3 linked regions of the Daphnia pulex genome follow. The protein of the gene in region 3 interacts with the protein of the main gene of each other region in a biochemical or structural test. Links are inferred from orthologs where the notes say so. Each region holds a gene or a part of one and is shown on either strand. Other genes may lie near its edges.

Region 1 (2,262 bases), on a different chromosome or scaffold from region 3:
TCAGTATTGATTTTAGATGATGTAGGCACCGATGGTCGAGGAAAGTAACGAGAGACGTGAGGCCCAGACTCGCCAGACAAACTCGCCATGCCTTGCTTCGCCATATTGTCGATGATTCGTAACAAGAATGAATTTTTGCTGTCGTCCACTTCCATTGAACTAAATGTTTAGCGAATATTATACGATTTTAACACAACAAGTGAGCAGTCGACTCTTATCATCCCAGCCCCATTTTTTTTAAACCGGGAAATTTAAACAGTCGCGGGATACGCCATCTAGTTTCAAGAATCAAAGTCATAATTTAATGTTTTATTTTAACAAATTTTTGCCTACGAAACGACGATTGCAAACTTTGATTTTTGTTACGATAAAACGACAATACCGTAACATCATTAAGAAGATTTTTAATTGAATAAATATTGAATAAATCGAACTTTCAGCCATTGATTTATCTCAATTGATTTATCATCAATCGACCAAAGTCAAAGACTTGCTAAGTACGTTGATAATGCACTTGATAAAAAAAAAAACATTTTTATATAGGATTTAATTTTGACGGCATGTATTAACTTCATACCAATATTCAAGGCCAGTTGTACAATCGGTAAACGGGGAAGGGTTGAAAGGGAGGTTGTTGAAAAAGTTGCAGCCATGTAGAGTAAGGATTTTTGCCCTTTGTTAATCCAATCGGTAACATTTAATACTCACTGGCACGAAGAAAGAACTCTTGGAATTGATTATAAATGACCCAGGTCAACATAACTTCCATAGAGAATTCTATTTAGAATTAAAGAAAGCAACGAACTAAGCTAATAGTCCACAACATTGGATATAGCGCAAGTGAACTGATGATTATGGTAGTAAATAACCTTGAAATCAAATATGAACCAACCCCCAACCCGCCGCACAACGTAGAGTAATCAAATAGTTTTATTCGGTCGGGAGCACGTAACGGACGTAGGGCACTTCAACGTCTTCATCTTCAAGGTTATTACAGCATAACTCGAAGACGAGTGCTTTGACATGAGGCTCCAGTCTCTTCTTCGACACACGCTTGACAACCTCTGACATGGGGAGATCCATACGTTCGCTTCGTTTAGCTTGCGGCATAAAGAACGAATAAAGCATGCAAACACCCTGTGAAAGCATGGTGATTTTCAGCTTGTGTTCGCTTTCGAAGTAATCAATAAATTGCCGGAGCGTCTTTTCACCCTCCACTTCAAAACGATCCCACAAGGTCCATTCCTTGTCGTAATACTTTAATCAAATACAAACAAAAAATTTTTTAGTTAACGAATCGATTAAAATATTTTCCAACAATACCGTTTGCTTGGGAGCAGCGATTGGTTCAGAAAAGCCAAAGAACGGAAGAGCCAAGTTGATAAACCCGTTCTTAAATGCCTCAGGATTGGTATGACCCTGTACCAACTTCAAAAGTTCGATGCAGACCAAGCCTGAAACGACGGAGGTAGTAGTAGCAATGGCTGGAATAATCTTTCCAGCAATAAGTTTGCTCTTGTGGCGATCGGCCGGTGCGATATCATAATTCTCTGCCCGCAAGTTAGAAGAGGCTACGATGAAATCCATATGAAAGTTGGTGTCGTCATCCTTTTCAAATTCGAGGGGGAGAATGCGCAAGCCGGACAGAGAGTCCACAGATGGCAACTCCGTCTGCAGCTGGGTAAGTCTGTCTTCATCAAGCATGCCTGGGTTGTTGGCGGCAGCAGCAGCTTCCGCATCCGAAACAGCAATTCTGACTCCTGAACGTGGTACGAATTCCGGTACGACACACGATTCCACCATTTTAGTAATAGCCTATATTCGAGTCCGAGGGGATAAAAACAACTGTAAATCAAATTATGTTTTAACTAAAAAAAGTGAACTCACCTGTACATCGCGCGACTGTGGGATGTTGTAAATTTTAGCTTTTAGATTAGCAGCCGCAACCACATAATCCAAATGGACGGGGTTAGTGATATCGAATTCCAATGGATGAGGACAGCGTTTAGGTCCCGACCAAAACGGTTGACCTGTCAAAACAAAAAATTATATACAAAGTAAATTACACTTTATCAATAGATTTTACCAGAAGAAGTAAGTTGCTCGGGTGGAAAATTAAACAATAATTGCTTGATCTGATTGTGATATTGTTCCTGCCAATGGAGGCGAGCCCATTGAACACACTGCTCAAAATTCTTCGGACGTTCCTCAACTAAGCTGCGGTGGACGGCCTCGACTATCTCGAGTGGTTGAGATCCTGTT
Region 2 (4,301 bases), on a different chromosome or scaffold from region 3:
CGATTCACCCTCAAGTTACCGGTGGATTAAAGATGACAATTCCACTGGATCCTATTCCTGTTCCAGCTGCGAAGCCACTGTCGATCAAACTTCCGTAGTTTACCAACAGCTGGCTGAAACGTTGGCTCAAGCTCGACTCAACAATTCCGATTCAAAAGACCCGTTAGCTATACCTTCCACTTCAATGGTCGTCAGCGAATCGTTGATTGCTCTGAATCCAATCATGCCAGCTGACTCGAAAGAAGAAGACAATATGGCAATGGAAAATCCCGACGAAAATAAAGACAACGATAGGCTGTCCAATGTCTCACAGATCATTACGTTCCCAGATCCTTCATTTAAAATGGAACCCGCAAGTCGCAAAAGTCGTGGAAGGCTTTTCCCTCAAGTGTTGGCTTCGCTGGCCCTGGCCATAGCAGCTTTGATCGAGGGGTACTCATCTGGCTATACTTCTCCTGCCCTAGCTTCTATGACACAACCCAACAGTTCTATTCCCGTAAACGACCAAGAGGTTAGTAACTAGACTAAAATCCCTAATACCAAACAAAAACTAACTGGAAATCATTCAATTCTTAGGCGTCATGGATCGGGAGCTTAATGCCGCTTAACGCTCTAATCGGTGGCATTGTCGGTGGAAGTATTGTCGAGCATTTTGGCCGGAAGACGACCATCATGGCTACCGGGCCACCATACATTTTGTGTAAGTAACGCAACAGTGTCATTGAATTCAAAATATTAATATTTGCTTTCTTCATCTAGCTTGGTTACTCATCACGTTTGCTACAAACCTGCCCATGGTCTACGCCGGACGTTCAATCCAGGGATTTTGCGTGGGCCTTACTACCTTGACGCTGCCCATCTACTTGGGTGAAACTATTCAACCGGAGGTCAGAGGATCGCTGGGCCTGTTGCCCACCACGATAGGCAACATAGGCATCTTGTTTTGCTACATTCTGGGCTCCTACATCGACTGGAAAGTATTGGCGGCCATCGGAGCAGCTCTTCCTCTACCCTTTTTAGCTTTCATGTGGTTCATTCCGGAAACACCACGTTGGTACATCTCTAAAGGCCGTTATACCGAAGCTCGCGAATCTCTACAGTGGCTCCGTGGGGGCAAAACTAACGTTCAAGACGAGTTTCTCGAAATTGAAAACAATTACAAGAATCAGAGCGTCGGTGGTGGAGCCAGAGAACTTTTGAAAATTGCCTACCTACGGCCCCTACTCATTTCACTCGGACTCATGTTCTTTCAGCAACTTTCTGGCATCAACGCGGTCATCTTTTACACCGTGTCTATTTTTGAAAAATCTGGCGGAAGTGTAGATAGCAACCTCTCTTCCATCATTATTGGGTTGGCTAACTTTATGGCTACACTGGGCTCAAATATGGTCATCGACCGAGTAGGCCGTAAAGTTTTACTCAACATATCCGGATTCTTTATGGCAATCAGCCTCGGCGCATTGGGAGTCTTCTTCATTCTGCAACACCTTGAACATGATCTCGAACACGTCGGTTGGCTTCCACTGACTACATTCATAGTCTACATCGTCGCCTTTTCCATCGGTTATGGACCTATCCCTTGGCTTATGGTACGTTATTAAAATGTGATGGCTGTTTGAAAAAAATTCAATCCTAACAAAATTTCTATTTGGCTAATTTAGATGGGAGAAATTTTCCCAAGCAAGGTTCGTGGTCACGCTGCATCTGTAGCTACAGCTTTCAACTGGGCTTGCAGCTTCGCAGTAACTAAATTCTTCAACGACCTGATAGCGACGATCGGCGCCCATGGAGCGTTCTGGTTTTTTGGTTTCTTCTGCTTTATCAGCATCTTTTTCGTTATCTTCTTCGTACCAGAGACCAAGGGACACAGTTTGGAGAGTATCGAGAAAAGTATGCTTGAAAAGAAACCGAAAAAAGATATCGAATCTACTAGGCTGTAAAGGCGACCAATTATTTTTCAACGTTGGACGTCTTAACAGTGCGGACAATGTTTTTGTACATAAGACTATTCCTTTCTTTAATCAAATGATGTCTTCAATTCCTCAAATCTCTGAATGATCTGTTCTGTTCTACCTTATTTCTTCCCAGGAAAGTTTAAAGATAGCCTTATAATTAGGAATAGAACAATTAGGATTCGTTATTTATAAATACGACTGTTTCTCCTAATACCCAGCAGACTACGAATCTTTTCTAATTGTTTTATCTTCCAAAATATTTATGTACATTACTACATCAGGCAGGGTACAGAACATTGTAAAATGGTAAACTTCTCATCAACCCCCATAACTACAACCTTGCCGACACCCCACCCCTTTAGTATTTAGTTGAAAATGTGAAAACCAGATAATTTCTGAATATTTTGTGAAATGTAAATATACCAGAACCACAAATAAATTTTAAACATTTTCCTTTAAAATAGTTCTTGTCTCTAACCCTTCTTAACAAACATATTGAAATTGGGACTTACCCATAACTTGAACTCTGCAAATGGCACAAATTTCACACTCAACGTCCCAGCTCCACATAGCAACTGCATTCCACCGTTTCAATGAGAACATCTTTTCAGTTTTGACTACACAGTCATTACCAACTGTGGTTTTTTCCACTGATTTCTCCATATCAATATCATCTGCCATTTTCTGCAGTAGAATAAAAAAACCTGTAAAAAAATAAACAAAAACATTTAACATGATTTTTAACATTGACTGACATATTGAAGTGAAAGCAATAGTTGCATTAAGGTTTGATTGGATATGATTGACAACTATACACAATAGAATGCAGGTACATAATCAAAAGATAAGAATGGGTAAAATAAGCTTACTTTTAGCTATATGAATTATGAACACAGAATTTTGGGCCAGTAAAAAATTGAAAACCACAGCAAAGGAGCTCTCAGAATTGTATGCTGAGATATTGTTTATGTCGTCTGCTAGCCCGCTCGGCGCTCGCTCAGCTGACTTATAATCACAAGTGCATATTCGGTTCAATTTTGGTTCAGCCACTGACAGGAAGGAACTCCCTTTGACTACTCTCTGATAAAAATAACATGAAGAAAAATTTTGACTTTTAATCTAGCTCTTTTAACCTTTATAAATGAATTTCAATACCATGTCTCGACGACCTTCAAGAGACGAAACTGACCAAGACCTAAGGTGGTTTCATGGGAAAATCAACAGGCAAGAGGCTGAAGCTCTACTTACTAATGGTCTGTTTAAAATAATATTTTTTTTTGTAGCCTATCTATTAAAATTGTGATCTTATTTTTCCATATTTATGCCTGCAGAAGATGACTCTGAAGGACTATTTTTGGTGAGAGAGAGCCCCACAGTTGATGGAGCTTTCATATTAAGTGTTCGTCACCAAGGAGAGCCCAGGCATTACCAAATAAATCGACATGGGGCTGATGCATTTTTTTCAATTGGTTTGCCATTGAAGCATTTTTTTACATTAATTTACATTCATTATAAATTTTTTGTCCCCTTGCAGAAGATGGATACATTGTTCATGGCCTTGATGCTCTCATTACTCTTTGTCAGAAAGAGGGCTCTTCTATTTTTGGACCACTTAACCGACCTTGCAAAAAAGATTTGCCACCTGTTGATACAAGGTGTCATGGAAGATGTAATCTATTGCATAGAGCTACCAAAGAAGGTGATTGCCAAGCATTTTTCATCTGTCTGAGATTCCCTTAGTATCAAGTATCAAGGTCACTACCAATTATTCAACAGGCAACCTAACTGTAGTATCAGAATTACTTCGAGGTGGCTCCTACAGGAGTATCGACGCTAAGAACGAAATTGGACAGACTGCAATCCATTTAGCTGCCTTTTTGGGGAATAATATGATTCTTAAACTTCTTATCCAAGGAGGAGGAAATGTCAATGTTAAGGATGATGCAGACCTCACTCCACTACATGTAATTAATAACAGTAGTTAAATCATTTATTAATACCCTTCCCTGTAGCTTATTTAATGATTAACCTCTCTTGAATTGTTTAGTATGCTTGTATACACAATCATCACGAATGCTTAAAGACTTTGCTGGAGTTCAAAGCTAGCCCTCAAATCCGACACCGTTTGACCGGAATGGTTCCCCTTCACGAGGCTGCTAGTCGAGGACATCTCGATTGTGTGAAAATCATGATGGCAATGTCTGTAACACCATTGTCACGCACTAAAGAAGATCAAACTCCCGCTGACTTAGCTAGAAAAAATGGTTTCTATCAATGCGCACGACGATTAGGTATGGATCACATTATTTCAAAGCTGATGGATTTCCTTAAATTGGTCTGTTTTAT
Region 3 (3,412 bases):
CGAATGTTCTCTTGACGCGAACTGCTGTTGAATTTTTCTGAAAAATGTTAAATGGGAAAGTCACAATTTGAGTGGAGGTTTTTGAACTTGGATCAATGACCTTCTACGAACCAAACAGCAATCGGCCGTTTCAAATGTTACCTCGATTAACTCGGTGTCGTCTTCGCAAACAGTCCATGTCACGAACAAAATTAAAATGATTAAAAGTCGCATAGTGGGAACGTAGAGACTGGTTCAAACTGTACACAACCGAAGGTGCAGGTCAAATGAGGTTGTGAGTGAGGTTGGTGTGGTCCTGCTAAAGGTGGTGCAAGGTCGTTACTCCCAAGATAATTGCACTCGCCAAATTACCTTCCGAGTGAGTAACCTGGGGTTAAGGGATTTATAATAGATTCAGGGAAACGAACCATTAAAGTGCGATTCCAAGAAAATCTTAAACGTTCACAGCAAATCAATAATTAAATGTAACCTGTGATAACTTACTAAAGGTAAAAATATGAGTTGAATGGGTTATCAGCAAATTTTTTTATATTTCCTTCGACCTCACACGACTGAAAAATCAGCATAAAATTAAGAGAAAGAAAAGGAAACTGAATCAACACTCTCCTCCCTTCCGCGAGTGTAAAAACTAGACATGGATAGATTTGCTCGTTAAATAACGCGCACTGCATAGAAGTGCGGGAACGAAACAATTCAAATGGTATGGGAGATGGAGAATTATGGAGTTTATCGCTGAGAAAGACTACGGATATTTTCAAACCGTTGCTAGATGTGAAGCAAGAAGAAACAGAGAAAAAGGCATTTATGTACAGTGACGCTCATAATCTCTTCAATGTTCTCTTTTTGTCCTTGGCCACTGGCTTTTTCTTATCCGCCAAAACTGTGCGATCAGTAGCAGCTTTTTTCGATGCTGTAGGGCCTTCCGTTGGGTTGTTGTCTTCATTCAAGTGGGCATCCGCGTTCGACTTCAATCAAGGAATGAAAATGAAATAAATACAGTAAGTTGGTAAATTTGGTTTTGTTTACCTGATTTTGACTAACTTTGGCATGAATTTCAGTCATCATTTTTGCTCTTTGAAAGTAATCTTCATAATGCTCTAATAAGAGCTTGCCAGCCTCTTCATTCAAAGCCGACTCTGCATTGGGGACAATTAGCAAACATTTGATAGTCTAAAAAAGAGATTTTAGGTTAGTTGTGAAATAGAATTGAACTCTTAAATAGTCGCACCAGAAATATATGTTTGATACCCAGATCAGGCTTCCAATCTTTCTTCAAGGTGTTGACACAAATTTCGCCTTGTTGCGAGACATTGGGATGAAATATTTTGGTTAAAAAGAAACCTTTCGGAGGACCAGAGGGGAAATCTTTTCCTAGCACTAATTTTACTCTAAAATGTCCACTAGCATATGGGGTACCAGCTGATTGTGGGGGAAATGATTTAAAATGATTTAATTTTAGGCTTTATTTTTAAATGAGAATTACTCTTACCAGGTCCATCAATAATGGCTTGAATATCAGATATGTCTTCTTCATTGAGAATAACTTTGATGCCTTCAGGTGGATCACTAATAAGCTGTTGAAGTTCCTTGCAAATTTGGCGACTAACTTGAGGTGCCAAGTTTTCAAACGAAACCTAGATTAAACGGTTCAAAATGGGCGCAACTTTAAAGTCTAAAATTGCAAGCTGTAACTCAATTTTCTAAAAACTTACTGAAGCCATGAGGGTTAAAAACAAAAGAGCAGAAAAGTGATATGTTCACGAAACAGAAAACGGAAGAGTAAATTTGAAAAGAATTTTGATACGACCGTTAGAACGGTTAGAATTTGGACAATATCAGGAAATTTTGGCCTCAGAGTTCAGAGACAACAAGAATACAAGATGCACACCGTTGCCGAAATGGGTACCAATTTAAAAAAAACGTATTCGAAAAATTTATTTATTTTTTTTATGATTTTAAAATAAAAACATTTTCTTTCGACATGAATTGGTTTTTATTCGTGAAAAATCTGCGTTGAATTTCAAGTAATTTGCAACTCGCGAGTTTCACATTCTATTTTCAAGGTCCTTGTCAACGTTGCGTGTGAGTCACGAACCTTTCTCACATGCCATAATATTTATTCTATTTTTTTATACGTGCCGTCTCGGGCTCTTGGTTTCTTAAAACTGTCTAATATAATAGGTTTCAAAATGCCTGATATCCTTCTTGTATCCGACCAGGTGACTATTTTCGTTTGTTTGCAGCACACTAAACCCATTGTTTATGTTTTTCTGCCCAATTTCAGGAAAAGAGGATAAAATCTCTAAAACGGCGTATTGAAACCTGGCGTGTTTTTCTCGTTGCCTTGTATTCTGTCCTCATATGGACTGAATCCTGGTACCCTGCACCTATTGTTGGAACCATTAGCACTGTATTTCTGTAGGTTCTATATTTTTAAAAATTTTTCCTGTGACATGATAAAGTTTCTGTTCGTTTATTAGGATGTACTGGTATTGGAATCCTCCAATCATCACCTCCGTATCTCTATTTTTTCTGATACTCAGTTTGATTGATTACAGTGTTCCTAGAATATGTAGCTGTATATCACAACCTCATCAATGGACAGCATTGAATGGTATACATTCTTCATCTCATTTTCTTACTTGATCAAAAGGTAACTTGATCATTTCTCCATAGAGAAAAAGTTTGAGATAATCTGTGAAACTCTGGTGAAAACTCAAGATAAAATTTACAACCAGATGACATATTTTATTGATCTCAAAAGGACAAATCCTAAAATGGTGATTTCTTTAATTGATACAGTGCATAGATTTTGATATTTTTAAATGTAACCTGTTGTTATGTTTTATCTTCCAGTATTTCTTGTCACTCTTTTCATTCTGCAGTCTTTCAGCTTGGATTGGTTATACAGTCAACAATTGGCTCATTTGTTTTATTCTTGGTATGTAATATTATTAATTAAAACTATTTAGTATTCTGAATTGTAATCAGCATTTTGATTGTTATAGTCACACTCATCTCATTGTATCCTGGCGTCAAACACAACGAAGTACTATCAAAATTTCTGTCGATATTCCTACACCGAGTCACCAATGGCATCCGATCGTATACAGAAAAGGATTCCGTTAAAAATAAGTAAATGGGAACTTGATGAGTCTCAAAGTCAGAGTTTGTGTCTCTACTATCTTAGGTTTTTAAATCACGATTGGGGCTTTTTTTTAATGGTATTTTGGCATACTAGTCTTTGATTTCTGTGCTTGAATGTTCAATCAAGATAATTCTCTTTGTTCGTTTTGTTTCCTAGTTTTCTTAAGTTCAAACTGGAGCAACGAACTTTAAAATTCCGTGATTCAGAAGTACTTAAATTATTATGATGTACGTTTAGAAATTGTACATTTTAGTAAAATTTGCC

What was found.
Region 1: of the proteins of ubiquitin-conjugating enzyme E2 S-like (region 3) and ubiquitin-like modifier-activating enzyme 1, one has a biochemical effect on the other in vitro, tested with the Homo sapiens proteins (8 studies listed by BioGRID, with this or other methods). The link is inferred for Daphnia pulex from reciprocal best matches to the Homo sapiens genes UBE2S and UBA1.
Region 2: the proteins of ubiquitin-conjugating enzyme E2 S-like (region 3) and RING-box protein 2-like form a complex in vitro, tested with the Homo sapiens proteins (3 studies listed by BioGRID). The link is inferred for Daphnia pulex from reciprocal best matches to the Homo sapiens genes UBE2S and RNF7.

The regions. Positions count from the first base shown.
Region 1 is NC_060018.1:5,971,881-5,974,142, forward strand, and holds the end of ubiquitin-like modifier-activating enzyme 1, read right to left. Parts: coding exon 2,087-2,262; intron 2,031-2,086; coding exon 1,888-2,030; intron 1,816-1,887; coding exon 1,324-1,815; intron 1,258-1,323; coding exon 931-1,257; 3' UTR 546-930; downstream 1-545. Other genes in the region: uncharacterized protein LOC124207205, read right to left, coding at 1-155. UniProt on the Homo sapiens protein: Catalyzes the first step in ubiquitin conjugation to mark cellular proteins for degradation through the ubiquitin-proteasome system.
Region 2 is NC_060024.1:9,938,633-9,942,933, forward strand, and holds the start of RING-box protein 2-like, read right to left. Parts: upstream 2,938-4,301; 5' UTR 2,825-2,937; intron 2,660-2,824; 5' UTR 2,637-2,659; coding exon 2,468-2,636; exon of another isoform or gene 1,941-2,467; coding exon of another isoform or gene 1,662-1,940; intron 1,590-1,661; coding exon of another isoform or gene 760-1,589; intron 701-759; coding exon of another isoform or gene 577-700; intron 512-576; coding exon of another isoform or gene 1-511. Other genes in the region: facilitated trehalose transporter Tret1-2 homolog, read left to right, coding at 1-511, 577-700, 760-1,589, 1,662-1,940; tyrosine-protein kinase Shark-like, read left to right, coding at 3,097-3,208, 3,287-3,424, 3,490-3,654, 3,732-3,919, 4,003-4,246. UniProt on the Homo sapiens protein: Catalytic component of multiple cullin-5-RING E3 ubiquitin-protein ligase complexes (ECS complexes), which mediate the ubiquitination and subsequent proteasomal degradation of target proteins.
Region 3 is NC_060023.1:8,631,994-8,635,405, forward strand, and holds ubiquitin-conjugating enzyme E2 S-like, read right to left. Parts: upstream 1,884-3,412; 5' UTR 1,722-1,883; coding exon 1,713-1,721; intron 1,635-1,712; coding exon 1,490-1,634; intron 1,420-1,489; coding exon 1,229-1,419; intron 1,171-1,228; coding exon 1,027-1,170; intron 966-1,026; coding exon 819-965; 3' UTR 511-818; downstream 1-510. Other genes in the region: uncharacterized protein LOC124197881, read right to left, coding at 1-37, 142-213; ADP-ribosylation factor-like protein 6-interacting protein 1, read left to right, coding at 2,190-2,219, 2,285-2,418, 2,481-2,614, 2,677-2,780, 2,857-2,941, 3,009-3,139. UniProt on the Homo sapiens protein: Accepts ubiquitin from the E1 complex and catalyzes its covalent attachment to other proteins. Catalyzes 'Lys-11'-linked polyubiquitination.